2 linked regions of the Pelodiscus sinensis genome follow. The protein of the gene in region 1 interacts with the protein of each later gene in a biochemical or structural test. Links are inferred from orthologs where the notes say so. Each region holds a gene or a part of one and is shown on either strand. Other genes may lie near its edges.

What was found.
Region 2: the proteins of ANXA7 (region 1) and SRI interact in a biophysical measurement, tested with the Homo sapiens proteins (2 studies listed by BioGRID and IntAct, with this or other methods). The link is inferred for Pelodiscus sinensis from reciprocal best matches to the Homo sapiens genes ANXA7 and SRI.

The regions. Positions count from the first base shown.
Region 1 is NC_134718.1:4,144,693-4,160,331, reverse strand, and holds the start of ANXA7 (annexin A7), read left to right. Parts: upstream 1-7,591; 5' UTR 7,592-7,709; coding exon 7,710-7,717; intron 7,718-9,453; exon of another isoform or gene 9,454-9,472; coding exon of another isoform or gene 9,473-9,477; intron 9,478-9,799; exon of another isoform or gene 9,800-9,920; intron 9,921-9,960; exon of another isoform or gene 9,961-10,545; intron 10,546-15,639. Other genes in the region: EIF3F (eukaryotic translation initiation factor 3 subunit F), read left to right, coding at 850-927. UniProt on the Homo sapiens protein: Calcium/phospholipid-binding protein which promotes membrane fusion and is involved in exocytosis.
Region 2 is NC_134712.1:216,575,762-216,591,124, forward strand, and holds the start of SRI (sorcin), read left to right. Parts: upstream 1-9,443; 5' UTR 9,444-9,538; coding exon 9,539-9,583; intron 9,584-14,704; coding exon 14,705-14,788; intron 14,789-15,363. UniProt on the Homo sapiens protein: Calcium-binding protein that modulates excitation-contraction coupling in the heart. Contributes to calcium homeostasis in the heart sarcoplasmic reticulum. Modulates the activity of RYR2 calcium channels.

The sequences.
Region 1 (15,639 bases):
AGGATCCAACTAGTTTAGTAGTTGGATGAGACATCCAGGGATCAACTAGTTACAGCAGAAGGTGGTAGTTATTCAGTAGGAGCATATCCTCTGAGTTGGGTTTGATTCATTGACACCCCCCCCCCACACACACGCATGCTGCCTTGGGGAATGCATTGGCTGTGTTATACCCACGAAGGCCCTGATCACTTTCCCTAGGGATAGGGTTTTTGCCCCTCAGGTTCTAGCTAAAATCCAGTATTTGTAATTACTGTTTCCCTTCATTCTCCCTGCAGTTTTGATTGAGAGCTGCTACTCCAGTCAAACTTCATTTGCACTGAGACCCTCCTCTGATAACAAATTACTACACCTTGACAACTCCATTAAAATAGGGTCATGACCCACTTTCAGGTCCCAACCCACAGTTTGAGAATCCCTGGACTAGAGTGTTCACGTATTCTTTTGCAGTCCTGTGTAGTGGTGGTGTGTGCTATTAAGCAACTACTTCAGTTCATTGTTGGATAAAGGGAATCACTGCTGTGTAAGGTGGTCAGAGATTGCTAAGGGCACAAGTTGCTACTTCTCTGTCTGTGAAATGAGAATAATGCTTGCAATGCTCTGAGGGCTATAGATAAAAAGTACTCTGAGTGCTGAATCTTATGTGAATGGTCGGTATTCCAGACCAGTGAGTGTCTGAAATGGAAAATAAGTTGTGGAGCCAAAGGTGTCACTCTGAAGAATAGTGCTTAGCAACTGCACTATTTGTAAATTCCTTTAATGAAGCACATTTGCACGTCTCTGACATCACTCCTTTCTCTCTTCTCTTTGTTACTCTAATCAGTCTAACTGCTGTCCATTTTTCTTTCTCAGGATCTGCTGATGGTGACCTACTTGGCAAATCTCACGCAGTCACAGATTGCTCTCAATGAAAAACTTCTGAGCTTATAAGGAGCTCCCTGCCTTGTCACACCTGAGAGCCTGAAGACACAGCAGAGCTACTCTCCCAGCATTCTGTTTTGCTATTGAATTCAGTTGGACCATAATGTATCTGCCTAAATGACTCAGTATCCCCCAGTATTCCTCTGATTCACATTCTGCCCTGTGGTTCAGACATTGAATCAAATTGGGTGTGAGCCCATTGCTAAAAATAGTCGATGGCTCCTCTTCAGTGCTTATGAACTACTGTCCCAGACTGACCATGTATTTAACAAACCAACTCCATTGTATTGTGAGGATTGCTGAGTCTAAATAAAATTTCTTTTCCACTTGTAAGAGCGACTTTTTATATGTAGGTGTCTCTTCTGTCTCACTATGTAGTGATAGTGTCTTTTCAAAATATTCATTTCGGGAGATGAAATTAGAGCTCACGGGAGCGAGCCAAGTTCTATAGTATGCCTCTGGGGTCAGTCACTCTACTTGCCTTCAAGTATGCCTTGAAGTACCTTCATGGTTACCAGAAGGCAGTTGGACAAGAAAAATTCTCTTCATTCAGGTCTTCAGAATGTTCATAGTGCCTGGGAGCCCTCATCCTGGACCAAGGTTCCATTATGCTAGATGCTGGTCACTGTTTCTGTACAGTAGCTTTTGCCTGGCACCAGAATCTGAGCAGGAGCAGTACAGTCAGCTGAGAGTCACCTATATGTTGAATCATTTGTGGAAGAACACAGAGTTGTAGAACACAGTATGCAGAAACAAAGTAGAAGTTGGTTATTGAAGTGAGGTGAAAAGTGAGGTTGGTAACTGACCTCACACTTGAAGTCAGACTTGTCATTGAGCAGATGTATCTGCTAGAGTAACTTCCTTGCCTGGTCATTTGTAAATATTAGCACACCAGAGGATTCAAAGAAGAGAGCCTGAGAGGCTCCTGCCAGACAGCACAAATAATTATAACTTCCATATTTTTGTCTTTGTACTGTGATTCACAGCTGAATGTTAAAGCTAGTATTGCACTGGTTCCATCTGTTAATTTCTCAGATACATATTTTGAAATGAGATGCACAATTCAAATCTGGCTCTTAATGGTGGCCTGTAAAGAATGTTTTTAAAAAACTGGTTGTGTCCTCTCTGCTTCTGTATATCTGACAAAGGCCTGTAGACACTCATAGCTTTGGTAGAGGTTTGCTGAGATCTCCAGGAGGTTTATTGTGCTTTCTGGCATCTTAATTTAAAGCTCAAAATGGATGAATATTGAATTTACATTAAAGGTTTCCTTTTTCCAGTGTGTTTAGTCACTAGAGTTAAATGTTAAACATGGCTTTGTTTAAACAAGTTTGAACGAACAAAAATTCATTTTCCCTCTTAATTCTTCAATTTACAGTCTTTCAACTCTTCTGATGTTGCTATTTTATTAGTTCTCCAAGCAAAATAGTCTTGCAAGTTGGCCTTAATTGTTTCCTTTTGCAGTTCACTGTGCTATATGACAATGGTGAAATAAGCTTGATTTCCCCCAATAATACTTTATGGGTTGAAATTATGAAACTGTATTGGTTTCAGTTAACAGAGTGCCATCGACAGACTACATTAAAGTACAAAGTTCTCAAAATGAAAAGGGAAGTTGTTACACTGTTTAAGATAACAGTATACAAAGAAGCATGTCAACATTTTGAAATGGTAATAGACACCTTTAAATTGGATGTAGGATTGACTAATTACATGATAAAAACAACCACCTTTATATCCCGTATTATATAATGTGGAGTGGGAGGAGATCTTCATCAATGTGGAGCAGCAATGCTGAGTAGAGTTCCCAGAGAAGAGATCCCAGGTAATGAATAGGGTCAGCTGGATGCACCATAGCATGCGTACGGAGCCATAGAATGTAGTGCCATATCATTTAGTGGAAATGAAAATTTAAATTTTTCAGCAATTCCATTTATGCTTTTATCCATGCAGGGTTTTTTTTAGGTTACTGGGTATCCTTTTAGGAAAAGCTCTGCTTCTTGGGTTTTCTAGTGATGGATTTTCTGTCCCTATTTTCTAACCAGTTTCAGAATGGCAGCTTTTGTGTGGTAGTATGCTTTCTGTTCAAATAAAGCCATGTATTACCGCAATATCCATTTAGACGGTTGTCGTCTTTGCTATGCATCTCGGAAGAAAATTTACACAACTTCTAGGAAGCAGAGAAGAGGTGATATCTCTTGCAGAGTTTGTAAAGTGTCCAGACAGTTGAAATTTCTTTTAACAAAACTTAAGATTCTTACTGTATTGTCAAGGAAATGGAATGTGTATGTTAAATGAGGTGGAGATAAGTTCACTCAATATTTTAAATACCTCATTCCTACAATGTCTTACCTTTCACTCCCTGATTTTTGGAGTGCTTCACTTAACCTTTGTTATTTAACTTCAATACGTAGCTTTCAGCAGACTTCTACTATAATGATTCAGAGAAAGAGGCAGTTAAAGGAGATCAACCGGCTAGAGAAAATTGGTTCATTATACTTGTAGTATGTCCAAGAATGACATCTCAATATGTACTTAGATAATTTTAGTGGATCCTGTGCATACATAGTAATGCAGAGTACTAGAGGATGCTACTATACAAATAGCTAAAGCTGCAAAATCTTACTATATATTTTAGAAATGTCTATCTGGCTGAGAGTCAGTTTGTTCAAGAACTTCTCCTAAACAATAAGAGCTAGGACCACCAAATCTGATGTGCAACTTCCTCTTATCATAACTTAAAGCAAGGTCAGGGTTTGCTTGTGCCAGGATAGTGGGATGTGCATAGAAGGTAATTGTTTTGTATCAAACTGAAAGGGAGGATTGGGATAGTAGGGACTGTTATACTCATGCATGACTACAGAGGGCAGCAAGGGGAGCATCAGTGAGCAGCCTGAACAGCCTCCAGGCCACACAGTGTCAGGGAGAAACTGACAGTCACTCCCATCCCCTGCCTTGAGTCCCCTGTTCTTCCACTCTGAGCCCCTTATTCCTCTCCAACCCTGACTCTTGCACCCTCCACATCTCCTGTCTCCTGCCCTGAGCATCCCACATCCCCAACCCTCTGTCTTTACTCATGCATCTCCCACACTGCCAGCTCCCTGACCTGAAGGACCTGAGCAATGCTGGGTAAGTCTTTTAGTACAGCATAAATGAGGCTCAGGATGTGATCATGAGTCAGCCATGTTACCGTACATGCAGGAACAGACTGGTGCATTTACACAGGAGACTAAAAAATTGTGTGTTTTTGCTTTTATTTTCATTAGAATATGTTGAAGGCCTGATAAGCATTCTCCCTCGCTGTGATATGGTCCTCATGGTGAAACTTAGACAGTGAGACTGCTAAGCCTTTCAAACCATTGACTTTGGCGGCCCCTCATCAGTTGTTAGCTGCATGTGGTATTCTCTCTAGGTACTGCACTAGCTCTGGCAGCTAACTTGGGGCCCGCTAGTAGGTTCCAATCAAACTGCCCAAGAGCAGCACAGACTCATTTCAAGAGTGAAGATACTTAAGCCCGGTTGGTTGCTGAAGCATAGTCCTAATATCCTGGGATACGTCTAGACTACAGGCTTTGTCGACAAAACTGTCAACAAAGCGCCTCTAGACTACATCAAGTTCTGTCGACAAAGCAAGCTGCTTTTTTTGACATGAGAGTGTAGACGCAATAATGCCTTCTGTCGACAAAAGGTGTTATTCCTTATAGAATGAGGTTTACCACCGTCAACAAAACTGCTGAGTTCTGTCGATATAATGTTGACAGAACTCGGCGCTAGTGAAGATGCAGGTATAGTTTTGTCAACAAAAGTCCACTTTTGTCGACAAAACCCTGTAGTCCAGACACCCCTGTAGACCACAAGTGGCAAGCAAGCTGATTTTTACTAGCAGGTGGGGTGGGAGCTCAGCCTTGCTCCCCCCACCCTCTGTGCAGCACCAGCTCTGGCTTCCTTCTGTGGGGTACAGGGAGGTGGGATACGCGTGTATCCCTAGCTCTGCCTCCTGCTTCAGGAGGGGAGTGGGGGGCCTCCTCTGTAGAGCTGGGCCTGCGCTGCTCCCTGTAGGATGTCTGTGGGGATGGGGAGCCCCTTCCCTAGCAGTCCACTGCACTCGACTGGGCTGGAGCCAGCTCTGGGCAGCCCCAGGCTCCATCTGCCACGGAGATACAGGCAAAGGGCTGGGCTGAGCAGAGAAGAGACTATCCCCCACCACCTCTCCTTGCCCAGCGCTGCTGCCTCTAGTGAGTGCACTGGGGGCACAGGGATGGGGAGGGGTGAAGGAGGATGTGGGGGCAGAACGGGAAGGGGCATGGGGCAATGCAGGGGATCAGGCTGGGCGGGATCATGGGCTGAGGGGAGCAAGGCTGGAGCACAGGGAAGATGGGGGGGGGGATTTACAATTTTACTTTGGAGAAGCTGCATTTTCCTTTACTCCCCATTTTGCCTTCCTTCCCAGCTAGCAATTTGGCTGCATTCTCACCCTCTCATCTTTTCTGCATTACTCCCCCAACCCCCTCTCGCCCTCAAATTCCCTCTCGTACTCCTTTCCAGACTGCTCTCCTCACCACATCCTAGACCCCACCTCCTGCCCAGATCCTGCAGCCCTATCCCACTCGCTGGCAACCCTGTCTTGCACACTGAGCCCCTCATTTTTGTTCCCACCACAGACCCTAAGGGGGGCCACAAAATCCACCAACTCTGGAACCCCAGAAAAGTAAATCTGGCCTATGGGAAGCCCTGAACCTCAGTTCCTCCCTTCCCCTCACCCTGTGGGGGCTGGACTGTCAGAGTCTTTGTTGCAGGCCACATCAGTGAGGGTAGGGGGTTTTGAGAGGAGTTTTTTTGCTTCTGAGTTGTGTGGTCCCCAACTGATCTTTCTGTGGGTCAGTGACCCCTGCCATTAATAAAGAAAACATTGAAACCTTTTGTTAGATATTATAATTTATTTAAATTAAAGTTTGATAAACTAACATGAGAGAGTTAAAACACTTAATCTGTTTAATAGTTTAAATTAAATTGTTCTCCCTAACTGCAGCACTTGCAAAATGGCTTGGGCATAATTATGTAATTAACAGTGAATTTCCATTAGAAATTGATGGTCCACAGAAAGGTTTGCATTGACCCAGGTGGTCCACGGAGTGTGTGGTGGAGAGAGCCCCTCTTCTCCCTCCACCCCACTCCCCCGAGAGGCCCAGGGCAGGAGAATTAAATCTTGGCATGCCACTTTGGAAAGTGCTGTAGAGACTACAGAATCAATCGTACGTGTTCCCCCATTACGATGGACCAGCTCAGTCAATAGTAGGATTTTCCCTTTTGCTGGACAGACACATCCCCTCTGAGACCCCCTCTTTATACACTCATACAAACAAATTCTGTATTGCCCCTCTGAGGTGGTTGGTTACCAGCTTTTACCTTGTACATGTTTGATCAAAACATCCTATTAGCCTGACCTGCTCTTTGAGGGGTCAGTGTGTCCTTATCTTCTTTGAGGAATATATTCCCATTGATATGGTCCTAGGATGCTCTGGCATGTGTTTACATGAATACTTAATCCTTAGGTGTGTTTGTGTCAATGCCAATCTTGTTCTTGCTGAGTTCATGTATTGGACAGTGAACCTGCAGGCATTGGCTTTGTAAAAGCCCAGGGCTTGACTTTAATTTGGGTGCTAGACCTTCCATCAGAGCCCACTGATCTCAGGCTCTTTCTACTACACTGTTCTCACTGTGATGCCGATGTCAAGCCACAAACAGACAAACAAGCCCTGCTCCTAACTGAAAATAAGCATGGCCATACTGGGTCAGACCAAAGGTCCAGCTTGCCCAGTATCCTGTCTTCTGATGATGGACAATGCCAGGTGCCCTAGAGGGAATGAACGTAACAAGTAATCATCAAGTGATCTAGTCCCTGTTGCTTTATTCTCGGCTTCTGGCAGAGGCTAGGGATGCCATCTTGGCTCACAGCCATTGATGGGCCTATCCTCCATTAACTTACTTAATTCTTTTTTTGAATCCTGTTAGTCTTGGCTTTCACAAGCTCTTCTGACAGAGTTCCACAGATTGACTGCATTGTGCAAAGACATTTTCTTTTGTTTTAAACTTGCGTAGTTCATTTGGTGACCCCTAGTTCTTACATTGCTTTTCTGTACTCTGTTCTACTGTAGTTCTTTGAGTTCTTTGGTACAGTTGGTTAGCATAATCAAGAGGTGTTCCATATTTGCATGGCATATTGCATCAGATTTTTTGCACGAGCACTATGAAGTGGCCTAATGCTACATTGTTCAGAGCAATTATAGTGTTGATGACCACTCATGTGGGAGTAGAGTAAGAAATTATGGAAAAATTTGCACTGTGCTACTTCAAGATGTGTGTGCTTAAGCAAAGTAAAAATAGAGGCTCATGTTAAAACTTGCCTGTCTAGATGACTGTATTTCAAGAGGTGTGACCAATTACAAAATCAGGCAAATAGCTGCACTGACATGTCACACTTTTTGCTGCCATAAGCTTGAGCTATGTCTTGACATGCTCATGCCAAAATAACACAGCAGAATCAGACCTGCTCCATGCATTGTGGTGATTGCAGGCAGAGTAAGCTTTTTAGCGTGGCTTCACCTAGCAGAGCCAGAGAAATAATGGATGCAGTCCACCTACAAATCCTTTAGTTGAAGTTTGCTGCTCACTAGTGTTGTGGGAGGGATTTCTAACCAGATGATTCAGTGGGGAGTGGCCCTTCCTCTGCCACTAAACAAACACAATATTCTTTCTACTTATCAGCTGAACAGAACTGGCTTCTTGCACACATGGCTGGGTAAGTCAGTTTAGCCAAGCTTCACTACTGTTGCTGCATTGTAATTACTGTGGTCACAAGATGGTGCAGAAGTTTTGATAGTAGATATTTTAGACTCACTTCAGTGACACATGCTGCTGGCTTTTTGTACTTTAATCTGTTGGTGCAAAGATCACCAGAACCGTTGCTGATACAAAGTGGGGGAGAGTGACTGATAGCAGTTGACTGAAATTTAATATATTAAAACCAGGACAATTGCTGCCTCATCACTTACATTTTGTATTGCACTTTGGGAGGCAATGGTGTCTAAGGGCTAGTGCATAAGACTTGCAGCCAGGAATCCTAGGGTCTGTTCCTAGATTTGCTATTGACTTGCTGGGCAGCCTTTGCGTAAGCTCTGTGCTTTTGGTTTCCCAGCTCCCCCAAACAAACTGGCATATTCACCTTTTGTAAAATACCTTTAGAATTTCAGAGGATGAGTACTACAAAAACACAAGTTATCTAGGTCTGTACATGCAGCCCTCAATTCTATTATGCCTCCTGTAGATGTTGGGGGAATGCCACTACTCCAATGTGTGTGGGGGGGCTATTGAAATAAGATAATTTTGCTTTGTGTGCTGCTGACAATTTGGGGAGAAGGGTTCTCTTTCAGAAGTAGGAAGTCAAAAAGATGGTGAGTAAATATACTCCCCAATGAAGGTGAATTTGTTCTTACATGCTTGTTAGCATCTGCTGACTCTCTCTATGTACACTATGTACTCAAGACATTGACTATTGTTTTCTACAAAGTAGCTGCTGTTTGCTAGGTAAACTCATTTTTTTCCACAGAGGGGTGGAAGGAGGGTTTCTATCCAGTCCAGTATCTTTCCTCTCCTGGTGTCCTCTCCATGTGATCCAGAGGGAGGTGTAAAATCCTGCCATTAGGTAGATGTGAGATAATTTGCTTCTTCCATTGTTGTCATTCTCTAATAGCTAGAGACTAACTTGTAGCCTTTGCCCTCCTGCACCAGCCTAGCACCCACACCCAATGGTTCCAGAGTCTGTACCCCCTCCTGCACCTACATTCCCCCAAAGCCTGCATCTCCTCTCACATCCCCCAACTCCTCCCAGAGTCTGCACCTCCTTCTGCACTCCAGCTCCTTGCCCTAGCCTCAGCCCAGAGCCCCTCACATCCAAATGCCTTGCCAAAGAGCCTGTATCTCCCTGTACCCTAACTCCCTGCTCCAGTGCTGAGCCTTCTCCACCTAAAATCTCTTAAAGCTTGTGTCCCTGCCCCAGCCTGGAAAGGGGAGGAGAGGGAGTGTCTGAGGGAGGGAGATGGATGGGGTGGGACAGGGGTCATTGGGTTTGTGAGATTAGCCAGTATGGAAGTTCTGGCCATGTTGGATGAGCTCACCCAGCAGTGATGTTGCAGCACTGCCTAAGTGTCAGGCAGACTGCATCTGGCATTGCCTGTGTGTCTTATAGACAACTCTGCCCTGAGGCCTGGAATTGCTCTTTGCAGGCCTGATGACCAGAGAAAAATCAGTCAGGGGCCATACACAAGTGATAATCTCTCCTACCCACCCCAACTCAAGCCCTCACCAACTCACCTCCTTCCTGAGGAGAAAGACACTCCCCCCAGCCGAGCCCCAGGCTAATACATGGTGTGCTCCAGCCTTGTGCGGGGCAGCAGGGAGGCTGGCGGGGCAGCCTGGCTCAGCCCTGCGCCTCGGGCTGGATCCCGACAAGCGGGGCCGAGGTTTCCCGCCCTGGCACAGATGGGATGCGCCGCTGATGAGGTGCTCCTAGAATTCCGTTGGCGGGTTGCTGCCCGTTAAGCGAGCTGTGCTGCAGCAGCCGGGCTGAGGAGAAGCCTCGCGCGTCGGCAAAGCGCCGCAGGCCGGGGACGCTCAGTCACAAGGGACGTGTCGAGACAGGGCGGCGATTCGCAGCCCCCGGCTGGTCACTGCTAAGACAGGCCCAGGGGCCGCCCTGTGCCCGGCCCCGCGCTCCCGGGGACTCGCACCAGACGCTGGCGGGGCGGGGGCGGGACCCCGGGACCCCCCGCAAGCGGCGGCCTCGCGCTGTGGGTGGGGGAAGCGGCCCGGCGCGCGCTCCCCGCTGGCCTGAGGGGAGAGGCGCGCGGCTCCCAGCGCCCCCGCCTGAGGCGCTAGAGGGGCGGGGCGGGGCGGCCCGGGCTCCATTTTGCGGGCGGTGCGGAGGCGGCGGGTTCGCGGCTCAGGTGAGTGGGGGGCGGCTCAGGGCTGGGCCCCCTCCCCGGGGTGAGCGGGGCGGGCGGGCGCAGAGCTCCGGGGCCAGGCAGCACCGCGGGGACGGCCGAGTCCTGCCCGCCCGGCGGAGACTGGCGTGGTGGGGGCTCCGGCGCGGCCCGGCGGCTTCGGGCTGGGCTGGGCCGGGCCGGGCCCCGCGAGCTGGCGTCAGACGGGACGGGGCCTCGTCGTAGCGCAGACGCTGTGCGGGCCGCTCTGCCCACGGCGAGGCCCCGTTCTCCGCCTCCCCTCGCCCTTCCTAGCGCCCGCCTGGAAAACGAGACTCCGGCTTGTTCCCGAGCTCCGGAGAGCCCCGCGGCGATCACGGGGCGCGCTGCCCTCGAGCCGAGCTCGGTCTCCTGGCTGGATTCCTGGCGCAGAGACGCGTAAATCGTTCCCGTGCTGAGATTAGCTCTGTAGACGCCGGAGAGACCGCGTCTTCGTGCTTACTCTGCAAACCCCTTTCACACTTGGCTTCCGTCCGCAAAGCTCTTCTCGGACTTGTCTGCTTGCATAATTAGGAGCTGAAATAATGTGTTGATGCTCTTATGTTCCTCTTAATCCTTTGTGTATTTTCCTACGACCAAGTTAAGACTGGTAGGTAGTCTTAAATTTGCCCTTTTATTTTCAAGTTCACCCAATAAAATGGATCAGCTACAACTTTGTATTGCTCTTTCTATTAGATTTTTAATGTTTTTGCTTTACTGTCCACATCTCTTTCCTGCTGCTTTTGCAAAGGAGGAAAACTTTGGGGGCTGCAGAAATTGCAGACAGAGGGTGGCTAACAAACAAATTGAAAACTAAAGTTCTAGAGTGGCTTTTGGATTACACTTTCTAGGAAGGAGGCAATTGAGAGCTCTCAGTGGTACATAGTACAATATTTGTACTAGTCCTAGGCCCTTAGCAAAGACCAGGAGCGAGGGAGGACCGCTGTTGGAATCCAGTGCCAATAGCTCTAGCACCTGCCCTGCTGCTCATATTTTTTTCCAAACCGGGCCATTGTGAAACTAACACAATTCTTGTCCTTTTCATAGTTGTCCAGGGTAATAATAGTTACCCCCTCTTATCAGTCTTGTTTCTCTGCTTCTTCCAGAGGTTATGACCAAAAGGGGAGGCTGACTGTAGAGTGGCTTGCAGACTAGAGAAGACAGCACTGCATTTGTTTACATTTGGTTCCCATTTCAAACATTGTCCTTGCCGTTGTGAGGGTAGAAATGTATTGAAACTGAAAGATGATTTAGACTCCTTTTATCAGGAAAACTTGCCTATTTATTCTCTAGTACAGTATATTTTTTTCAAGCACTTGTTTGTGTCTGTCTTCCAACTAACTCATTCATGGTGTAATAAACATACGTTTTTCTTAACACTTAAAAGGCAATTTTACTTTTTTGAACAGAAAAAAAGAAAATCGTGATCCATAATTCTAGAGTTTTGAAACTCCAGTGGTCAATATTATTTGCTGACCTGTGTCTCAGGGTGGATTATAAGAATATTTGAATAATGCTTCAACGAAAATGCTTTCATGCTTCACAAACTGTTAAGAAAAAATCCTGAAACTTAAGCTACATTCTTAAAAAAGGCTTCTGTTGACTGAATCAGTTTTGTAATAAAAAACTCCCTTAACAAAGGGTGAAGTCTCAGTGTTGCTTTGGGATACTCTAAACCAGTGGACTGGTCTGTGAGATCTCCCTTATACTATTTAGGAAGGCAGCAAGAAGATGGTCCCTGGTATCAAAAAGACTGAGAAATGCTATTCTAAGGCATGCAAGAGATAAGTCAGTTCATGTGCTGTGTTCATGCAGCTGGCTATTGTTTAATAAGTACGTAGTGCAATATTATGCAAGTGATTCAGTTTCTCTTCTGAAAAATATCTGCACATACTGAAAGCTATTTCAGTAAATGTTATTGCCAGGTTAATTTTTGAAAACTGTTTACAACAGTATTTGAGCCGTGGTTGAGGATTGAACCAGATTGGAGAGTTGTGTATGCCAGTCTAGTTGTAATATGGGAGGTATTATTGAACTGTGGTGTCCATGCAAACCATTTGAATAACTTTTAAATAATTATTTTCAAATAAAAATTAAAAAAGCAGGCCAAGAAACACAAACGCTTTTTTTGTATTTGCGGTAGGTGTTGCCTAAAGACACCAAAATAGTGGTTAGGGCCTCATGAGAATTGTTATAAGACACAGTCCCTGCCCCAGAAAGCTTGCAGTAAACAATTTACACAACAGGTGAATAAATAGACACATGGGAGGGAGTTTAAACAAGCTAAGGAGAGGCAGCTTTATTTGCATATGTTGGCAGTGTTACAGAGGTCACAAGCGTGAACTGGCAGTTAATTTGCTAATCAGAGATTTTGACAACTTGATAAACTGGTCTGTTTTATTTGTTTTGGGGAAACAAGTGTTGCAACCAGATCCTTCAACAGTTGATTTTGCAGTACAGCCAAACTGTGATATAGCTCAGATCTATATAATGCATTTAATATCTGGTATTTTAAAACTTATGTTAAGGGAACTATACCTTGGTTTCATAAACTTCCTTTAGTTTCCCTTGAGTGGCAAGCTTACTAGTTAAGGCTATAATTTATTAATGGAATTAAGCAAACTAGACAAGCTAAAAATATTTGTTTTTCAGTGTTAGTAATTTTTATTTGGTAATGATTTAGGGATATAAAAAGTTAACCAGTTAAACTTTAACTTTAATAGGTAAGGCTTACTGGTTTTGGTTAACTGATAGGGGCAGGAGCTGCTTCTTGCCTGCCCCTTAGATTTAACCTGTTAAATGATTAATCAGGATTTTACAACCATGTTTTCAATCAGCTGTTCCCTTCAAAACCAGAAACCTGGAAATCCTAGAGTAAACAAACTGCAAACTTGTAATGTCTCTAGTAACTTCCAAAAGATCGGAAGGTCCTTGGGTCTTTGGCTAGGGTAAGTCTATAGTCCAGAGATCAGAGCAGGAAAGAGGTAAAATGGAGATGCTTCAAAGGTTCTTTTTACTTTTTCCCCATGTGGAAAGGATGCTGTCAGCCTTGGTTTGTGGAAAAGTATGGTGCAAGATGGGAGTCCGGGGTCGTATGAGCAAGTTACATGCCCTTCTCTTTGCCAGAAGCTGTGGATGGGTGACAGGAGTTGGATCAATTGATGAACTGTTCTGCTCACCCCCTCTGAGGCACCTGCTGCTGGCCAGTCAGGAGATGAGATACTGGCTAGATGGGCCGTTGGTTTCTATAGAACAATGCTTCCCAACCTCTTTTAGCATATGGACTCCTTTTCAATCTATTAACGTTTCATGGACCCTCCCCCTCCTTGTAGAAGGCGGGGGAGAGGGGGAGGAAAAGTAAGGATTGGGCCAACCATAGTGGGCCTGATCTTTATTTTTAAACTTGCCACAGATCCCTGCAGTACTGTTGGGAACCACTACTATAGAATGTTGTATATTGAAAACGTAGGGGTCAAAGTCACCCCACCTTCGTACAATCTACATGTTCAGTTTCTATTCAGGTAAAATGCAGAGGTTAAATTGATTCCCTCAATCCAGGACCAGGGGTTGCTGCTGCTCTGGTTTCTAAGCTGAAATAGTAGCTCCAGCCCTTCCATGCAGATTGTGCAAGGTACTGGATGGAGCTACTGGATCTGTAAATACTCTCCTTGCTAATTGCAGGATTTAAGTGGTGTACTGTAGAATGGAGGTTCCCAACCACGTTTATACTGCGCGCTGGCAAACTCATTCAAAAACTTGTGGTGGATGGGTATAGAAACATTTGCATATTATGGCAATTAATTTATTTTTATATTCATTATGGTAATTAATGTTAAGTAGTCACGTGTTATTTTGCATTGCATCTGTACACACAAACCTACCACTTCTCCAAGTTTGCCCACTTTGAGGGTCATCATCCTTTGCCTCCCTCCCAACTCATTTCCTTTGCATCAGGAATAACCCCCCACCAGTGCCTAGACACTGGCCTCCAAGATGCTCTCTCCCCCATTCCTACCCTGGTATGTATTAACAGGAGTGTTGTGAGCAAGACACAAGAAGTCATTCTTCTGCTCTACTCTACACTGATTAGGCCTCACTTGGAGTATTGTGTCCTGTTCTGGGCACCACATTTCAAGGAAGGTGTGGAGAAATTGGAGAAGGGCCAAAGAAGAGCAACATAAATGATTAAAGGTCTAGAAAACATGACCTATAAGGGAAGACTGAAATAATTGGGCTTGTTTAGTTTAGAAAAGAGAAGAGAGGGGACATGATAGTGGTTTTCAAGTATCTAAAAGGTTTTTACCAGGAGGAGGGAGAAATTTGTTCTCCTTGGCCTCTGAGGATAGGACAAAAAGCAGTGGGCTTAAACTGCAGCAAGGGAGGTTTAGGTTGGACATTAGGAAAAACATCCTGCCTATCAGGGTGGTTAAACACTGGAATAAATTGCCTAACAGTTGTGGAATCTCCATCACTGGAAATATTTAAGAGTAGGTTAGACAGGCATCTATCAGGGATGATCTAGATGGTGCTTGGTCCTGCTGTGAGGGCAGGGGACTGGACTTGCAGATCTGTCAAGGTCCCTTGCAGTTCTAATATTCTATGATAATTATGAGCTGAGAGTCATGTTCATTCTAGGAGAAGTTTTTATGAATGGCCATTTTTGCTTCAGTGGGAGTCTGGTGTGGTTCAGTTTTGTAAATTATTTTAAAGAAAGCAGGTAGCTGAGAAGTGGTTAATAAACACTGGAATAATACCACATACAAGAGCTAAATACACAGATGATAACTCTGATTTGCTGGCTCGGTTAGGCAACAATTGAAGTGGAACAACTATCCTCATTATTTTTATCATCTTGGATTTAAAGAACCAAACCCTCCTGTTTTGCCTTTCCTGATGCCCTGGCAGTTGCAGCAGTAAAGACCGCATAATTTGTGAGAAACACTGATGCTGTGGCGTGTTTTAAGAAATTGTATCCTGCTACTTGATCTGTCATCTTTGCTCACTGACTGTGGTGTGTGAAATAGATGCTTATTTCTGTGCTAGGAGTAGATTGTATTGAAACATATTTGTATTCATTTATGAAACTGATTTATAACAGTTCCTTTTCTATCTTCTGATCTTGGAAGGTGCAGAACGCCCTTAACTTTAACAGGAGTTAAGGGCAAAAAGAGGTGGGAGTACTCTGCTTCTCACCAGACACCTTAGGCTGTGTCTACGCTGCAGGGTTTTTGCTCAAGAAGTCTTTTGTGGAAGAGTTCTTGCACAAAAACGTCTTGTACTAAAGTGCGTCCACACCTCAAAGCATATCGCTTTTGCACAAGAGAACATCTGCACTGCATGGACGCTTTTGCACAAGAAAGCTCTGATGGCCATTCACAGAATGGCCATCAGAGCACCTGTGCTTTTTCAGAGAGGCTATTTTTGCGCAAGAAACACTTGTGGAGCATCCACACATGCCTTTTTGCGCAAGAGCTGTAGCGCAAGATGGAGTTATGCCTCGTAGAAGGAGGTGTACCTACACTGCAAAAAGCCCTCTCTTCTGTTGACTGTAGATTTTCTTGTGCAAAAATGCACTTGAGGTGTGGACACACCTCAGGTTTTTGCACAAAAATGGCCATTTTTGCGCAAAAACCTTGTAGTGTAGACATAGCCTTATAGAACACTTTCCTGGGAAGCAGTTCTCTTCCTCCCAGTATTCCTCTTG
Region 2 (15,363 bases), on another chromosome or scaffold:
ATTCAAACTAGCATGTCCACATTAAGTGGACCCTGAACCGGGCTTAAGGATGGCCAGAAGCAGTGCCGGCAGGGCATCAGAGGAGGACTTAGAGCGTGGAGATGCTGTCTCAGGCTAGCCGAGGGCTGCGCTTAAAGGGACCCAACCCCCACCCCGGACAGACAGTTCTCAGGGGTGCCCTGCTTGCAAAGCAGTCCTGGCTTGGAGTGCCCGGAGTGCCCACACTGGGCACATCACAGCACTCAGCCATCAGACCGGCTGCACTTGCCACAGGCTGCCATCTGGGGAGAGGGGGCAATTGGGGGGCTGCAGGAGAGCTTCCACCCCCAGAAGCCCACAGAGCCAGCCCAGTCCTCCCCATCGGGGGCTCGTACCCCATTCCTCCCTCACCTCCTTCCACTTACCCTTCCCTAGCCCCTTTTCTTGATGTACAAAATAAAGGACAATTGTGTTCAATAATGGAATCTGCCTTTATTGAACAAAACTGGGGGAGACTGGAAAAAGGAGGTGGGAGAGGGGAAGAGAGAGGGTGGGAGAAGGGAGGGCAACTACAATGATCACGGGTTGGGAACAGGTTCCATATGAAGAGAGGATAAAGAGACTGGGACTTTTCAGCTTAGAAAAGAGGAGACGGAGGGGGGACAGGATAGAGGTCTCTAAAAGCAGGAGTTGGGTGGAGAGGGTGCATACAGAAAAGTTCTTCATTAGTTCCCATAAAGAAGGACTAGAGGACACCAAAGGAAAGGAATGGGTAGCAGGCTTCAAACTAGTAACAGAAAGTTGTTCTTCACAAAGCAAAGAGTCAACCTGTAGAACTCCTTGCTGCAGGAGGCTGTGAAGGCTAGAACTAGAACAGAGTTTAAAGGGACATGAGATCAAGTGAAGGAGGTTGGGTCCATGGAGTGCTATTAGCCAGGGGGTAGGAGTGGTGTCCCTGCCCAAGGTTTGTGGAAGGCTGGAGAGGGATGGCACGAGACAAATGGCTTGGTCACTGTCTTCGGTCCATCCCCTCCAGGGTCCCTAGGGTTTGCCGCTGTCGGAAGACAGGCTATTGGGCTAGATGGACCTTTGGTCTGACCCAGGACGGCCATTGTAAGCTCAGGGCTCAGGGTCGGGGGTCTCAGTGGACCCCCTTGATTTTCATGCACACCTGCTCCTGGGTGGCCAGGCTGGCAGCTCTCCTGCCCTAGACGGCCACTTTCCTGGGCCTAGTGCGGAGATCGTGGATGAGGTCCACGATGTCCGCACTAGCCCAGGCGGGTGCCCGCCTCTTGCGGTCTCGGGCAAGCTCCCGGGAGCCGCCAGCCTGGTCCCGGGAAGAGGGGGCGGGCTGGGGGGCATCGGGTGGCTGGCTCGAGCCGTGCCAGGTGCAGGGTCTGCTGGCTGGGTGCTGGCAGGCTTGCACCTGGCACGGGCACTGTAGCCAGCCCATGCCCCTTTAAGGGGCCCGGGGCTGGGAGGGGGGCAATAGAGTTTCCCTGGTGTTGGCCAGAGTGGCGAGCAGGGAAACCTGGGGAGGGCTAGCCTCCCACTAGTTCGAATTAAGGGGCTACACACCCCTTAATTCGAACTAGCTAGTTCGAACTAGGCTTAATCCTAGTAAAATGAGGTTTTCCTAGTTCGAACTAAGCGCTCCGCTAGTTCGAATTAAGTTCGAACTAGAGGAGCGCTAGTGTAGCGCCTATGAAAGTTAGTTCAAACTAACGTCCATTAGTTCGAACTAACTCTGTAGTGTAGACATACCCTAACACAGCACACCAACAGATAGAGCATGTAATATTCGAGGTTAAAATATTATATGCAATATCTATTTCCTTTACACACACTATCTCATACTATGTAAAACAAAAAGCAAAGTGATATGTAATTATTGTTTTGCCACTGTTTAAGCAAGTATGATTATTCTGTGACTCAATAATTATGTATGTAAGAGTTTGTCCTACCATCCATAATCTTACCATCTGAATAGTTTTCATCAACACTTCATGGTATACATCATGAAATCTCTGGCATGTGTTTCCTGTCAATATGAAGATAACACCAGCTTCATTTAAAATAACTCACCTTTCACAACACAATGAAAATCAGTCTCTCATTTTTAGAAGAGAAAAATGCCAAACTCTATTATAAATAGAATTGTTTGGGAATTTTTTGAGAAAAAAATTTTCATTGGAAAACAATTATTGAAACTTTCATGGAAATGTATCTGTTTCAACAGAGAGAGAGAGAGGTAGAGAGAGATAGAGAGTCAATCTCATGTTCAAACTCTGTGGTGGAGTAGTTCCACTTTATATAAATAATTAAATATTCATGGACCAAAGTTAGAGATAATGTCTCTATTAACTGGCAGTGAGGGTATTCACCAGGGATGTGGCAAGCCCAGATTCAACTACTTGCCGGCATGATTCAGAACAACAACCTGTACCTTTCACCCATCCCAGATGAGTATCCTGATTCTGAACACTGAGCTATCGGCTATTCTGGGATGGCTAAGTCTATTTCCAAGAGTGCTGGAACAATTTGTATCGCCAGGGTGCTGACAGCCATTGAACCAAACTGTAAACCCAACATGAAGGAAATCACTTCACACCAAGGGATGCTTCTGCACCCAGAAACCCTAGTTCAGCACCTATATTTATTTCCCTCTTTTATTTCCACAAAAAAAGCCAAAAGGTCTAATTTTAATTCCTTGTCAGAACAGAAAAATATGTCAAAACCTTTAATTTTTGTGTGAAAATGAAGTTTTGTTTTCTGGCCTTACCTGTAGATTCCCACTGAAGTTCTTTACACCCCAAATTCCCATGTAAATGCAGCAGCAGGTCTTATTATATTCCAGTTACAGATACTTAATTCACTGAAGCAAAACTAAAATTCTCAAAGGCAGCATTTGATCTGGGGTGTCCAGTTTGAAAGACCTTATATTTTTCATTGCTAAGTATGTAGTTCTCACTGAGTTCAAATGGAGTTTTGGGTGCGTTTTAACAAAAACAAATTTTCTCTGTGGGTATGTCTACACTACCACCCTAGTTCGAACTAGGGTGGTAATGTAAGCAACCGGAGTTGCAAATGAAGCCCGGGATTTGAATTTCCCGGGCTTCATTTGCATAAAGCCGGGCGCCGCCATTTTTAAATGTCCGCTAGTGCAGACTCCGTGCCGCGCGGCTACACGCGGCACGGACTAGGTAGTTCGGACTAGGCTTCCTAGTCCGAACTACTGTTACTCCTCGTAAGTATTCACCATTTTAGATACTACTAATTCATCCTGCTAAGAATGGCTTATTCTTGGGCTTCAAACTTCTGAGGAACACATTTTTTTTAACCTTTTTGAATGAACTAGGTTGTATCCGAAACTATTTAAAAGTCTGCTGATACTCTACATGCCCTCTACCCTCGGCCTCAAAAGTCTTCATCCACACATCTAGATGAAACTGGATATTGTGCTATGTTCTTGATAAATGCAGCATAATTTTCAGGAACAGAGTATAAATGTTTTCAGCAAATGCACTTAATATAATCTTGTCTGCCAAGTGGTGTTGACTCTTTCCCTGCTAATGTTTGTGAGGCTGTGCTTTTATTTAATAGAAAAAACAAATGAATAGATTGCTCTTGTCCCTCAGCTCCCTGTAAGAGCACGCATGTGAACATAGGATTTATTATAGGCCATGTTTCTAGGAACCAGCACATCACAGTAATAATTCATATTTTCAAATTAGTTTTATTAGCAAATCTGACAAACTTATATTCTTCCATAACTCACTATGTTGCCATCTTCTGAAAATTAAGTCTGAAAATAGAAAATATTGTCAGACATTTTTAGCGCTGTGTGCCTTTATGCTCTCATCATTGAGGGTACATCTAGACTGCAGGGTTTTTCTGGGATTCTGGAAGTATCCTGGAAAAATTCTGCCATCTCCAGGGAACGCGTTTGCTCTTCTGCTTTTTTTTGTTGAAGAGCAAACGCGCTCTTTCGGGGAGCCCTGTATACCTCGTTCTACGAGGAATAAGGGCTCCTTCAAAAGAGGAGGTTATTCCGCAATTTGGCCCTGTTTATCTGGAACACAATTTGCATAGCTTTTTTTGAAAAAAGGCTATTGTGTATGTTACTGCTTAAATGAAGCACACGAGATCTTTTACTGGGGAAAGGCAGTTTACTGAGAATACAACAGTTGCATATGCTTTTCAATCACTCACACACAAACACCATACACACACAGTCCCACCAGATGATGTTATAGTTATCTGTCCAGATTCTGTATCAGTCTAGCAGCCAGCTAGATTGAACACAGAGGAAAAGCAGGGCCTTTGTCGGTCGATCGATCTGATGCTCCTCTGGAGTTGGTGGCAAGACGAACCCAAAGTCCCATAGCAAGGCACCCTGCTTTTATAATCCTCTCCTCTATGGATTTCACTGTGTCAGTCTGTGACCGGTTACGGTTAACTTTTGGTGCCCACCCTTCACCTTTAGAGCCATCAATTCTGCCAATCTGATCAATTCTTGACCGTGGGTACGCACTGATGGTTTTTCTGATGCTGATATGTTTTTTCGCAGTCTGTCTTTTACAGTTTGTTTTCACTCCCATTACCCTCCTTCTCTCTTGACCATCTGGCTCTAATGATGACCTTCACATGTTATCTCATTAACACAAATAGTCTTTCACAAAATCCCTCAAAAAGTAAACAGTATTGTTTTATATTAAGCAAAAGCAAAATCAAAACAATTCACATCGAAGGCCCGGACCTTCAATATTTCTATACTCATTAACATAGACACAATATGAGATCCTGTTTCTTTACTTACTAATCTTACTAAACTTTAGAACAGGGAAATATAAGAGATATATACTTAACTAAAGAATTTAATTTACCACAATATTAAATAAAATTATATATATATATTATATTACTACATTACTAAACCTAAAATACAAATATAAAAAGAATAAAACTTTCAGTTCCAACATGTAGACTTAGCCTCAGACTGCAAACAAGGGTGACAATTAGGATGGTGTTTCTTGAAATCTTGTTACTATGAACATTATATTTGTAACAATGAAGTTCATTTTGTACGCCAAGACTCTTCCTATGATACTTCAGTATTATCACAAGCCAACGAACTCTTTTTTTCTTACAGTTTTAGTTTGTCACATGATCATTTGCTCTTCAAAGCGATCAATGCATCCTATGTTATAGGAGTCCAAAGATTAAGAGATAGGCAAATGGCAAATGAGGTAAAATCATGTACATTAATTTGTGAGATCACAGAATTATAAGGATGTAGGACTAAAAGGGACATCAAGAAGACAAAGTTCAGCATCTTACCCTGAGGCAGGGCAAAGAAACCTAAACCATCCCTGAGAGGTGTTTATCCAAATTGTTATTTAAAAACTCCAATTACTGGTAATCCATAAAACCTCTTGGAAGCCTGCTCAAGAGCTTAATTACTCTTATAGTTAGCTTTTTCTAACAGTTAACCCAAATGCCCTTTATTGCAGATTAAGCCTATTGCTTCCTATACTACCTTCAGTGGACATGGAGAACAATTGATCACATTTCTCTTTACAGCAGTCCTTTCCTTAACATATCTGAAGACTATTATAAGGTCCCACCTCAGTCTTCTTTTCTCAAGACTAAAGATGCCCAGGATTTTTTAACATTTTGTCATAGATCAGATTTTCTAACTCTTTTATAATGTTTATTATCTCCTCCTATGTCCAATTAGTCCATATCTTTCCTAAAGTGCAGTGCCCAGAACTCTACCAGTGCTGACAATTACCAAATACCTTAAAAATAGCATTCCTGTTATGTCACCCAAAATAAAAACATTTTTCAAAACAGCATCATCACATTGTTGGCTCTTGTGCAATTTGTGTTCCGTGAATGCTAATGCTAAAGGGTACGTCTACACTTGCACTCTAGTTCGAACTAGGGATGAAAATGTAGGTGACCGAAATAATTGCTAATGAAGCGGGGATTTAAATATCTTGCACTTCATTAGCATGATCTCGCCGTCACGTTACTCCACTGAACAGCTGTTTCGAAACTGAAAGTGTGCACCGGGACATGTTAGTTCAAACGAAACCCCTTGGTTATTCTTTGAGGAGTAACATTAGTTTGAACCAAGGTGTTTGGTTCAAACTAATGCATCCCGGCGCAAACTTTCACTTTCGAAACAGCTGTTCAGCAGAGTAATGCGCCGGCGAGATCATGCTAATGAAGCACGAGATATTTAAATCCACGCTTCATTAGGAATTTCGGTCGACTACATTTGCATCCCTAGTTCGAACTACGGTGCAAGTGTAGACGTACCCATAGACACTAAAGAGTAAAATCGCAAGGATGCTATAGGTCAGAATAAAACACCATTGGAAGAACTGCATATGAAAAAAGGCATTGCAAGGTTGAATGAATGGTTGACATGCAGAACTCTGTGTTAGCTTGTAAGCTTGTCTCTCTCACCAGAGAAGTTGGTCCTATAACAGATATTACCTTAACCACGATGTCTCTCTACTATCCTGTGACCAACATGGCTACAATGACACTGTCCATGACGTTGAATTAACTATTTGTATATTTTGAACACTACGCCAGATCTGACAGAACTATGCCTTAGTCTAGGCTTGACCAACAGCCCTTCAATATTCTTTCCATGTGAGCTGGGAAAGGGGCTATGATTCTCAATAGCATGCATGTTAATTTCTTATAAAATCTAAAGAATAATAAGAGGAATCACTGCTAGCTTCCTCAGATGGCTGAAATATTATTACCTCCGCTAGTTCTATAATATTAATCTGAATGAATTAATGGAGAATACTGTATATGAAAGAATCAAATTTAAGTAGATGATAATTGTGGCATGACCTTGGGCAAGTCACTTACCCTTCTGTGTGCCTCAGCTTCCCTTTCGTAAACTAGGGACCAAAGTGACTTCTAGCCCCGCACTGCTGTTGCAAGGGTCTCAGACACAGGAGGCGTCAGACTCACTTATTCCCCTGATGTCTGTTCCACACTGCTGGAAAGTGCTACCAGATCAAGCCAAGGGCGGGACGGGGGAGAAAGGACCTGATTTTAAGAGGAATAAGGGATCTTCCGGAAAAGCCTTTATTTTCCGAAAGATCCCGTCTAGACTGGCGCTTTTCTCCTGCAAAGCCCCGAGCCGGAAAAAAGCGGCAGCCATGTTCATGCAAATGCCGCGGGGGATATTTAAATCCCCCGCGGCATTTGCAATTCTGACTTGTCTCATTAGCATCCCTTTTCCGGAAAAGGGTGTCAATGTAGACACAGCTTCAGGGTACGGCTACACTGCCGCTTTTTTTTTTTCTATTCTTCTGTAGGAAGAGTTTTTTCCAACATTTGGCCTGTCTAGACTGGGCCAAATTTCAGAAAAACCCCTTATTTCGGAAGCCCCCTTATTTCTCATGGAACGAGGAATACAGGGGTTACTGAAAGAGCATGTTTGGTGCGGAAGAGTTTTTCCGAGATACCTCTGGAATACCAGAAAAACTCCTGCTGTCTAGCCATACCTTCACTGGGTTGAGACAGGATGTGTGGGCTCTGGGGTGGGAATGAGGGATTTGGGTTTGGGAAGAGGTGAGGGGTGCAAGCTCTGGGAGGGAATTTGGATGCTGGAGGAGGTGGAGAAGGGAACACTGGGTCGGGGAGGTAGCTCCAGGCTGGGGAGTGTTGGGGTCAGGTGGAGGGTTGGGGTACTGAGCAAGCCACAGGCTTGTGGATGTGAGGGTGCAAGAGTTTGGGTTGGGATATGTGAGGGGCTCAGGAAAGGGAGGTTGGGAGTATGATGAGCTCAGGACACAGATTTGCAGTGTGTGGATGGTGCAGAAGTGTTGTGGCAGAAGACTGAGGATGTGGGAGTGCAGGAGTTTGGGGATGTGAAAGGTTCAGGACAGGGGGTTCCAGTGTATGATAGGCTCAGATCTAGGGTCAGGGGGTGGGGTGGTGCAGGAGTGTTATGAAGCTGTGGCCAGATGGGGGCTTGGCCCCAGTTGGGGGTTTGTTGGCCAGGCTTCATTTTTAAATAAATATTATGTTAAACACAAAAAGTTTCAGCATTGTCTTTATTTATGAGAAGGGCAGGGAACCTGTTTTGAGTCAGGGGTCACTGACCCACAGAAAAGTCAGTTGTGGCCACACAAGTGAGATGCAAAAAAATAACTCTTCCCAAAACCCCCAAGCCTCACTAATGTGGCCCCAACTGTCCTGGTAGAAGCAGGGGACATGGTACTGGGGAAAGGTGCTAGTGGGTGCTGGGGCAGGGGACAGGGCGCTGGGGCGGGGACAGGGTGCCAGTGGGTGCTGGGGACAGGGTGCCAGTGGGAGGAGGGGCAGGGTGCCAGTGGGGGCAAGGGACAGGATATCAGTGGGTGCTGGGGCAGGGGACAGGGTGCCAGTGGGTGCTGGGATGGGACGGGGTTCTGCGGCAGGGGACAGGATGCCAGTGGAAGCAGGGGACAGGGTGCTGGGGTGCTCCGTTGACGGAGCCATGTAGATTTGTTTGTTTGGCAATGGGAAATGAAGCCGCGATTTAAATAATCGTGGCTTCATTTAAATTTACATGGCTGCCACGCTGAGCCGACACACAGCTAATCAGCTGTGTGTCGGCTCAGCGCGCTAGTCTGGACGCTGCCCTGTTGAAATGAAAGCCTTTTATCAACATCCCCGGTAAACCTCAGCCTACGAGGCATAACCGGGATATCGATAAAAGGCTTTCAGGTCGGCGCGGAGTGTCCAGACTAGCACGCTGAGCGGACAAACAGCTGATCAGCTGTTTGTCGGCTCAGCGCGGCAGCCATGTAAATTTAAATGAAGCCGCGATTATTTAAATCGCGGCTTCATTTCCCTTTGCCTACAACCCTCATCTACATGGCTCCATCGATGGAGCCATGTAGTCTAGACACAGCCTTCCAGTTCTAGCATTCTATGATTCTATAAGTAGCTGGCTTTTGCGACTCGCACCGTCAGCTGCCATTTTAAATAGTCTCATTGCCAGTCGCTCCCATTCAACTGTGCACATTACTTTTAGGAACTGTCAGCCTGTGCAGTTGGTAGAAACTGCCTGGTGACAGACTGTGGGAACGACTGTTGCCTGAACACTAATTCTAACTCTTCCTATTACACGATCAGCTCCCAATGAGTGCCTGCTGGCAGGATTATAACACGCACGCTGACCCGGCTGTGACAGTATATGCCTGCATTAGGCAGTGATTCTGTCCCTTTAAATGAGTACAGCTCGCTCCTAGGCTTGCCCGATGTTTTTACCAAACTCCTGAAAAATAGCAGGAAAAAAACTTGGTTGAGAAAAAAAAAACGGGGGAGAACCAAAAAAAGGTCGCTGCACCTTCCGACTCCCCCCCCCCCTCCTTGCGCCCCCCGCCCACGCCAGACACGCAGGGGAACAAGAAAAGCAAAACACGTTACATAGCCGGCAGTTTGGGGGTTTTTTAACGGGCAGGAACCGGAAATAACGCGCCGTCGCAGCACCGGAAGTGGTCGGGGACTGGCCGACAGAGGCGCGCTAGGGGACATGGCGTATCCCGGGCACCCCGGCGGAGGCTACTACCAGAGCGGGGTAAGCCGCCCGGCTGCCTGTGCGGGGGAGGGGAACGGCCACCCGCTCGGGGGAGGCGTTTCCCCCACTCGCCATTGTGCCGGGGGAGGGGGGGCAAGTGGCGACTCAACCCCCCCCCGCACACACACACACACACACACCCGCGCGGGGCTGTGGCGGTGTCCGGGCTGTAGGTGCCTGCGGGAGCCCGTGGGGGTCAGACGCGCTTTTGGGGGCCTGCGACGTGTGTAGCCGGGAGCTCGGCTGCCCCGCCGCGCCCCCTTTGCGGGGCGCGCCCGGCCTAGTCGCGTTGCCTCTGAACCGCTTGCTTGCGCAGTGGCTGTTCCGCATATGCGGCCTCTCTCTAGAGCAGTGTTTCCCTATTTTATTTGGCCACGGAACCCTTTTAAACTCAAAAGAATTTTGTGGAACCCCTAATAGCAGCCATATATATATATATATAGCTGAAAAAGTAGACCCCAAATAAGTAAGGATAATAGTAAAGCAATGCTAAACAACGTCATGAGAGCAACACAAATGAAAATTGTTTTCAATAAAATCCATAAATGCTTAATATTTTTTTTTTTTAATAATAACATGTTATTGTAATGGAATTTTCTCACGGAACCCTTATTTTCACTTTGCGGAATCCTGGGGTTCCCGGGAACACCATTTGGGAAACACTGCTCTAAAGGCTCAGCTTCAGTTGCTGACTTCAGAGTACTCTTCTCCTCCCCTCTTCCCCCCCCCCCCCCCATCACTCTTTACAAAAGCGGCAGGTTGGGGAGGTTTCGAAGAGCCACTCGGCTTGACCTCGGTATGTTTTGTTCCTGCGAGTCCTATGCTGGTTCAGTCCAAGCTGGTTCTTAGCCCTCGTGAAAGTATTTGTCTGGTTAGGGTGATCATGCAAACAATCCTCAGAACAAATGTAAACCGGTTGGAGTACCTGAGCGATGGAGGATGGAAAGAGAGAGAGAGAGAGTCAGAGCAGCAAACTTCAGTAGCAAGGCTGAAGTGGTTAATGGTTTTGTTTTTCTGCTACAGTTAGCTGGGGATTTTTGCTGCTGCTTCTAGCAGACCCGGAAGCTATTGTGTCCCATAGTTTTCCCTTTTTTCATGGAATACAAAAAAAGCTGCTGGCCCAGACAACTGACTGTAAACAATAGAATTCTAATAATGTGGAAGTCTCTTTCAGTGTGCTGGTATTAATTGAAATCAGTGAGAGCTGTAGATGCCTAATGCCTCTGAAAAGCTGGCTACCTGATTAGAATCCCCTCCCTGCTCCAGCAAAACCAAGTCAAGAGACAACCTTCTATTATCCTCAGTAGAGGTGATAACATACTACACTTATCCTTTGTTAAACAAAAATAATTTAGTTAGAATCAAAGCTTTGGTTAAAACATGAATGCTCTCTTTGTGGGTATAAGTAACACTGAGCTTGGAAATGAAGAATGAGCTTGTGCTTCAACAGACAGGAGCATAGGTCAGGCCTATACTGGAAATGTCAGTATATAAATGTTGGTTAGAGAGGGTGGAATTATTTTGCTCACCAAGCCTTTGTGAGCTACATGGGGGTTGGCAGCCTATGGTGCACGTGCCATAAATGGCACATGAGCTGATTTTCTGTGCCATGTGGGGCAGGAGCTCAGCCCTGCCAGCCTCAGGATTGCTGCACAGCTGCAGGCTGGAGCACCAGCTCTGGCTTCCTGCTGGGAAGGGGTGGGGCAGGGGAGGCATAAGAGTGGCATGGTGTAGGATCCAGAGTGGCCCAGCAAAACCCTGCACTGAGCTCTGCGTCCCTGGAGCTGCCCCTGCCCCTTGGCAAGCATCTCCCAGGTGCTAAGGGTTTAACCCTCTCCACCCGGCACTACAGTTTGTCATTTCCTTCTTCCAGTGACATCTGAGCTTTCAGCCAAGGGCTGAGCTGGGGGGGAAGGGTTTGGGTCAGGGGGCTACTTAACAGCAGGCTGGCAGACAAGATGATGGAGCCCCAGCCAGCTCCAGTTCTGTGTCTCTGTTGTCAGGGTCGGGATTAGAACCCTGGGAAGGGTTGGCCTGGGGCTGCTCCACAGATTGGGGCTGGGTGACTGGAGACTCTGGTGTAATGGGCTGTGCCATGCTGCTCCCTGCAAGCTGTGTGCAGGGGTGGGGAACTAGCCCCAGGCTCTGCCTTCCCCAGCCCTGGAGCTGCAGCCTGCAGATGAGGCAGGGAAGTGACTCTGCACTACCCTCCACCTACCTCACCCCTGCAAATTCCAGTGCTGCTGGTGAATGTGCTGGGAGCACAGGGATGTGGGAGCAGGAGGAGAGATGAACCAGGATGCAGGGGATCACGCTGGAGAATCGCGTGGCTGAGGGGAGTGATGCTGGGGGAGAGGAGATACAATTTTACGTTGCAGAAGCTTCACTTTTCTATACTCTCCACTTCTTTGTCTCTCTCCCCGACTAGTTATTTGTCTGCATTCTCACCCTCTCACCTTTTCTGCATTACTCTCCCAAGCCCCTCTTATACCTCCACCCCACAACCTCTCCTACTGCCAAACTCCCTTCCAGACCCCATCCTCCTCAGCCCCTGCTGAACCCCACCTCCCGCCCAGATTCTGCATCCCATCCCATTCGCTGGCAGCCCTGTCCCACATGTTGAATTCCTCTTTTTTGTTCCCACCCCAGAGTTTAAGGGTGTCTACAAAATCCACTCACTCTAGAACCCCAGAAAGTAAATCTGGCCTATAGGAAGCCATGAACCTCAGTCCTCCCTCTTCCTTCCCCTCACCCCATGGAGCTGGAGTGCCAGAATAGTGAGGTGTCTCAGTTGGGGTCTATGTCAGTGAGGGTTGGGGTTTTGAGAAGCAAAAATCTCCTTCAAATTTATGTGGTCCCCAACTGATTTTTTTTCTATAGTCAGTGGCCCCCAACCCAAAAAGGTTCCTCACCTCTGCCATAAATAAAGAAAACATTGAAACCTTTTGTGTTGGACATAAATTAATATTTTACTTTATTTATAATGAAGTTTGATAAATGAGCATGAGAAAGTTAAAACACTTAATCTGTTTAATTTAAATTAAACCATTCTCCCTAGCTGCAGCACTAGAAAAACAGCTCGGGCATAATTATGTAGTTAATGGTGAGTTTCCATTAGCAATTGGTGGTTTGCATTGACCCAAGGTTTGCATTGACCCAAGTGGTCCATGGTGTGCATGGTGGAGAGAGTCTTTTCCGGGAGAGCATCACGGCACAGGGCAGGAGGGTAAAATCTTGGCACACTGCTTCAGAAAGTTGGCCGACCCTTGAGGTGCATTGACAGAAGCACTTGTTTTGCTGCTATGAAACTGTCTGCACTAGGGATGTAAGCAACTAGTCAGTAGTTGAGTGACAACTTGAATACTCGTTCCCCATCTGCCTCTGTATCAGAGGCAGCAATAGGAGGGGAAGAAGGAGTCAGTGCTGGGGGGAGCTGGCTTACAAGCTGTTTCCCCCAAGCGGAGCAGGGGAGACAGAGCCACAGAGGTCCCTGAGCTAGCGCGAGCTGGGGCTGTTCACTTCCGGCTTACGCCAGCCCCGGGAGGTAGCCCTGCTGTGGCTCTGCAGCCAACTGTAAATCCATTTTCGTAATGAGATTCAGATCATTGACCGAATGTGGAGGACTCATAGGGTACTGAGAAATTGATAGTATTCTGAGTTACTACATAAGCCAAGTTTCGTCTGTTTTGATGGTCCATTTTATCAATGATACTTGTGGGAGAGTGGGTCTAGAGTAGATTTGTTATCACTTAGTTTAACCAGATACTTAATGGATTTCTATTTTGACATTTAAGCTGAAATGAGAAAGTAACTGTGTAAGCATTGAGTCCTTTGCTTCTGGAGACTGCCAATAGGAATGTAAGCAGGTGCTATAAAGTTACAGAGCTTGATACAGTTTTTTCTATTGAAATATTTTTGTCATTTCAATATGCTTCCATTATTTCGCTATGTGCATGTCAAGGTTTAATAATTGAAAATTACTTTCTTTTTGAAAAAAAAAAAAACAATTCTTGTCCTTTTATCAAAACTGGTGAGCCCTGAGAATATTCTCCCTTTGGTCCCCACATTGTGCCAGTAATGGAGAAAACTAGAGTATAAATTTGACTCTCTAATTTAGGCATATTTGTTATGCAGGTTATATAGTGCTGGTGGCTGATTCTGAATGGGATCTGATTAATTTAGTGGAGATTAATTTAGAGTTGAAGGTGGACAAAACAAAAAAAGATCCGATAGCGTTCCCGCTGCTGCCACCAGCTGTGGGGTTCTGTCTGACAGCGGAGGAGCTGGCATTGACTGAGCAGAAACTGGAGTGGGGGTGCTCAGGAAGAGGCAGGGCACCTGTGGAGCCCTGCAGCTGGGGGCTGGGAGTGCACCAAACCCCGCGTTAGCCCACTGAGTCCCATGGCCACCCAGTTGTGCTCCTGGCCCCTGCCCATGGGGCTCTGCAGGCACCTTGAGCATACCCTTCTATCCTTGAACTTGAGCACAGCTAATGACCTATTGGCGGAGCTCTGGGAGAGCAGGGGAGTTGAGTGCAGTGCCTGGCTTTTCCACATAAATGCTTCAACCCTGGAGCACCCACAAAGAGACCAGACCACACATGTTGCCAAAAGATTGAAGACCAGACTATAGAGGTCCAATCTGAACTATAGAATTGAGCAAATGCTAGTGAAAAGACATATTCAGTTTACAGTGGGTGATAAATGTTTAATAGCACTCGAAGGGAAAGTTGATGGCAAGAAAACATAACATGGAAGAAGATCTTCAATGGATGATATGGTATCCTATGTGGATCAAAAGGACTAGATTAGCAAAGGATTGTATGGAATGAGCTATCATGCAAACCTCCAATAATGACGGTGACATATACACCCAATTTAGGCATTCTGTGCTTCTGCTAGATCACTGGGCTAGCTCAAATGTAAGATTTTTAAGTTGGCATGCCTTACGGTGTAGCAAGTATATGCACCAAGTCGTGTGCTCTCTTTTAAAGCATTTTATATGCTTCAACAAGGTGTATATTAAAAGTGACCCTCAAAATTGATGCTGAAATGTAAGTCGCTGCATTTTGTAGTCAATTAAAAATTAATTTTATCTAAATCGTTTTTCTTATTTTTAAAGTATGGTGCTGCTCCTGGAGGACCAGTGTTTCCGGGGCAGACTCAAGATCCTTTGTATGGGTATTTTGCTGCAGTAGCAGGACAGGTATGTTTTTCCCTCAAAAGCTATTTGGTTGAAGTTATGGCATAAGACAAACAAACGTTCATTTTATTACAACTTAAATATTGGATATCACCCTTTGTCATCAAGGTGTATGGGATAGCAGAACTTTCTAGCATATTGAGACCAAATAGTGGAAACTGGGTGTGAGGACAAAGTCGGGAATAATGTCAAATTGAATTAATTATGGCTTAAGTTTATTCTTGCTCACTTTAGAACTATGAACAGGGGTGGGGCGGGTCCGTCACATGTAGCATAAGAATCCAACCAGAAATGACAGCTGCTTGGTTGACCTCCTTAAAAGCCAAGAGAAGTTATTTAGGTCATTATACAAAGGGAAGGCTTCATTAGGTGTAGTAACGTGGAGTACCAGAAGCTGATGGTATGGATTATCTTGCCAGACAGAATGAGCATGGTATATGAAAAGGGGGACATTTATGTCAGATATTTGCATCTTAATATTTCAATGCCTGATTTTGACAGCCTATCTATTACTCTAAAGCCGGGGTCTCAAGCTCAGTTTCCCTTAGGGCAGGTGACAGGCCTAGTGGGCCAGCATG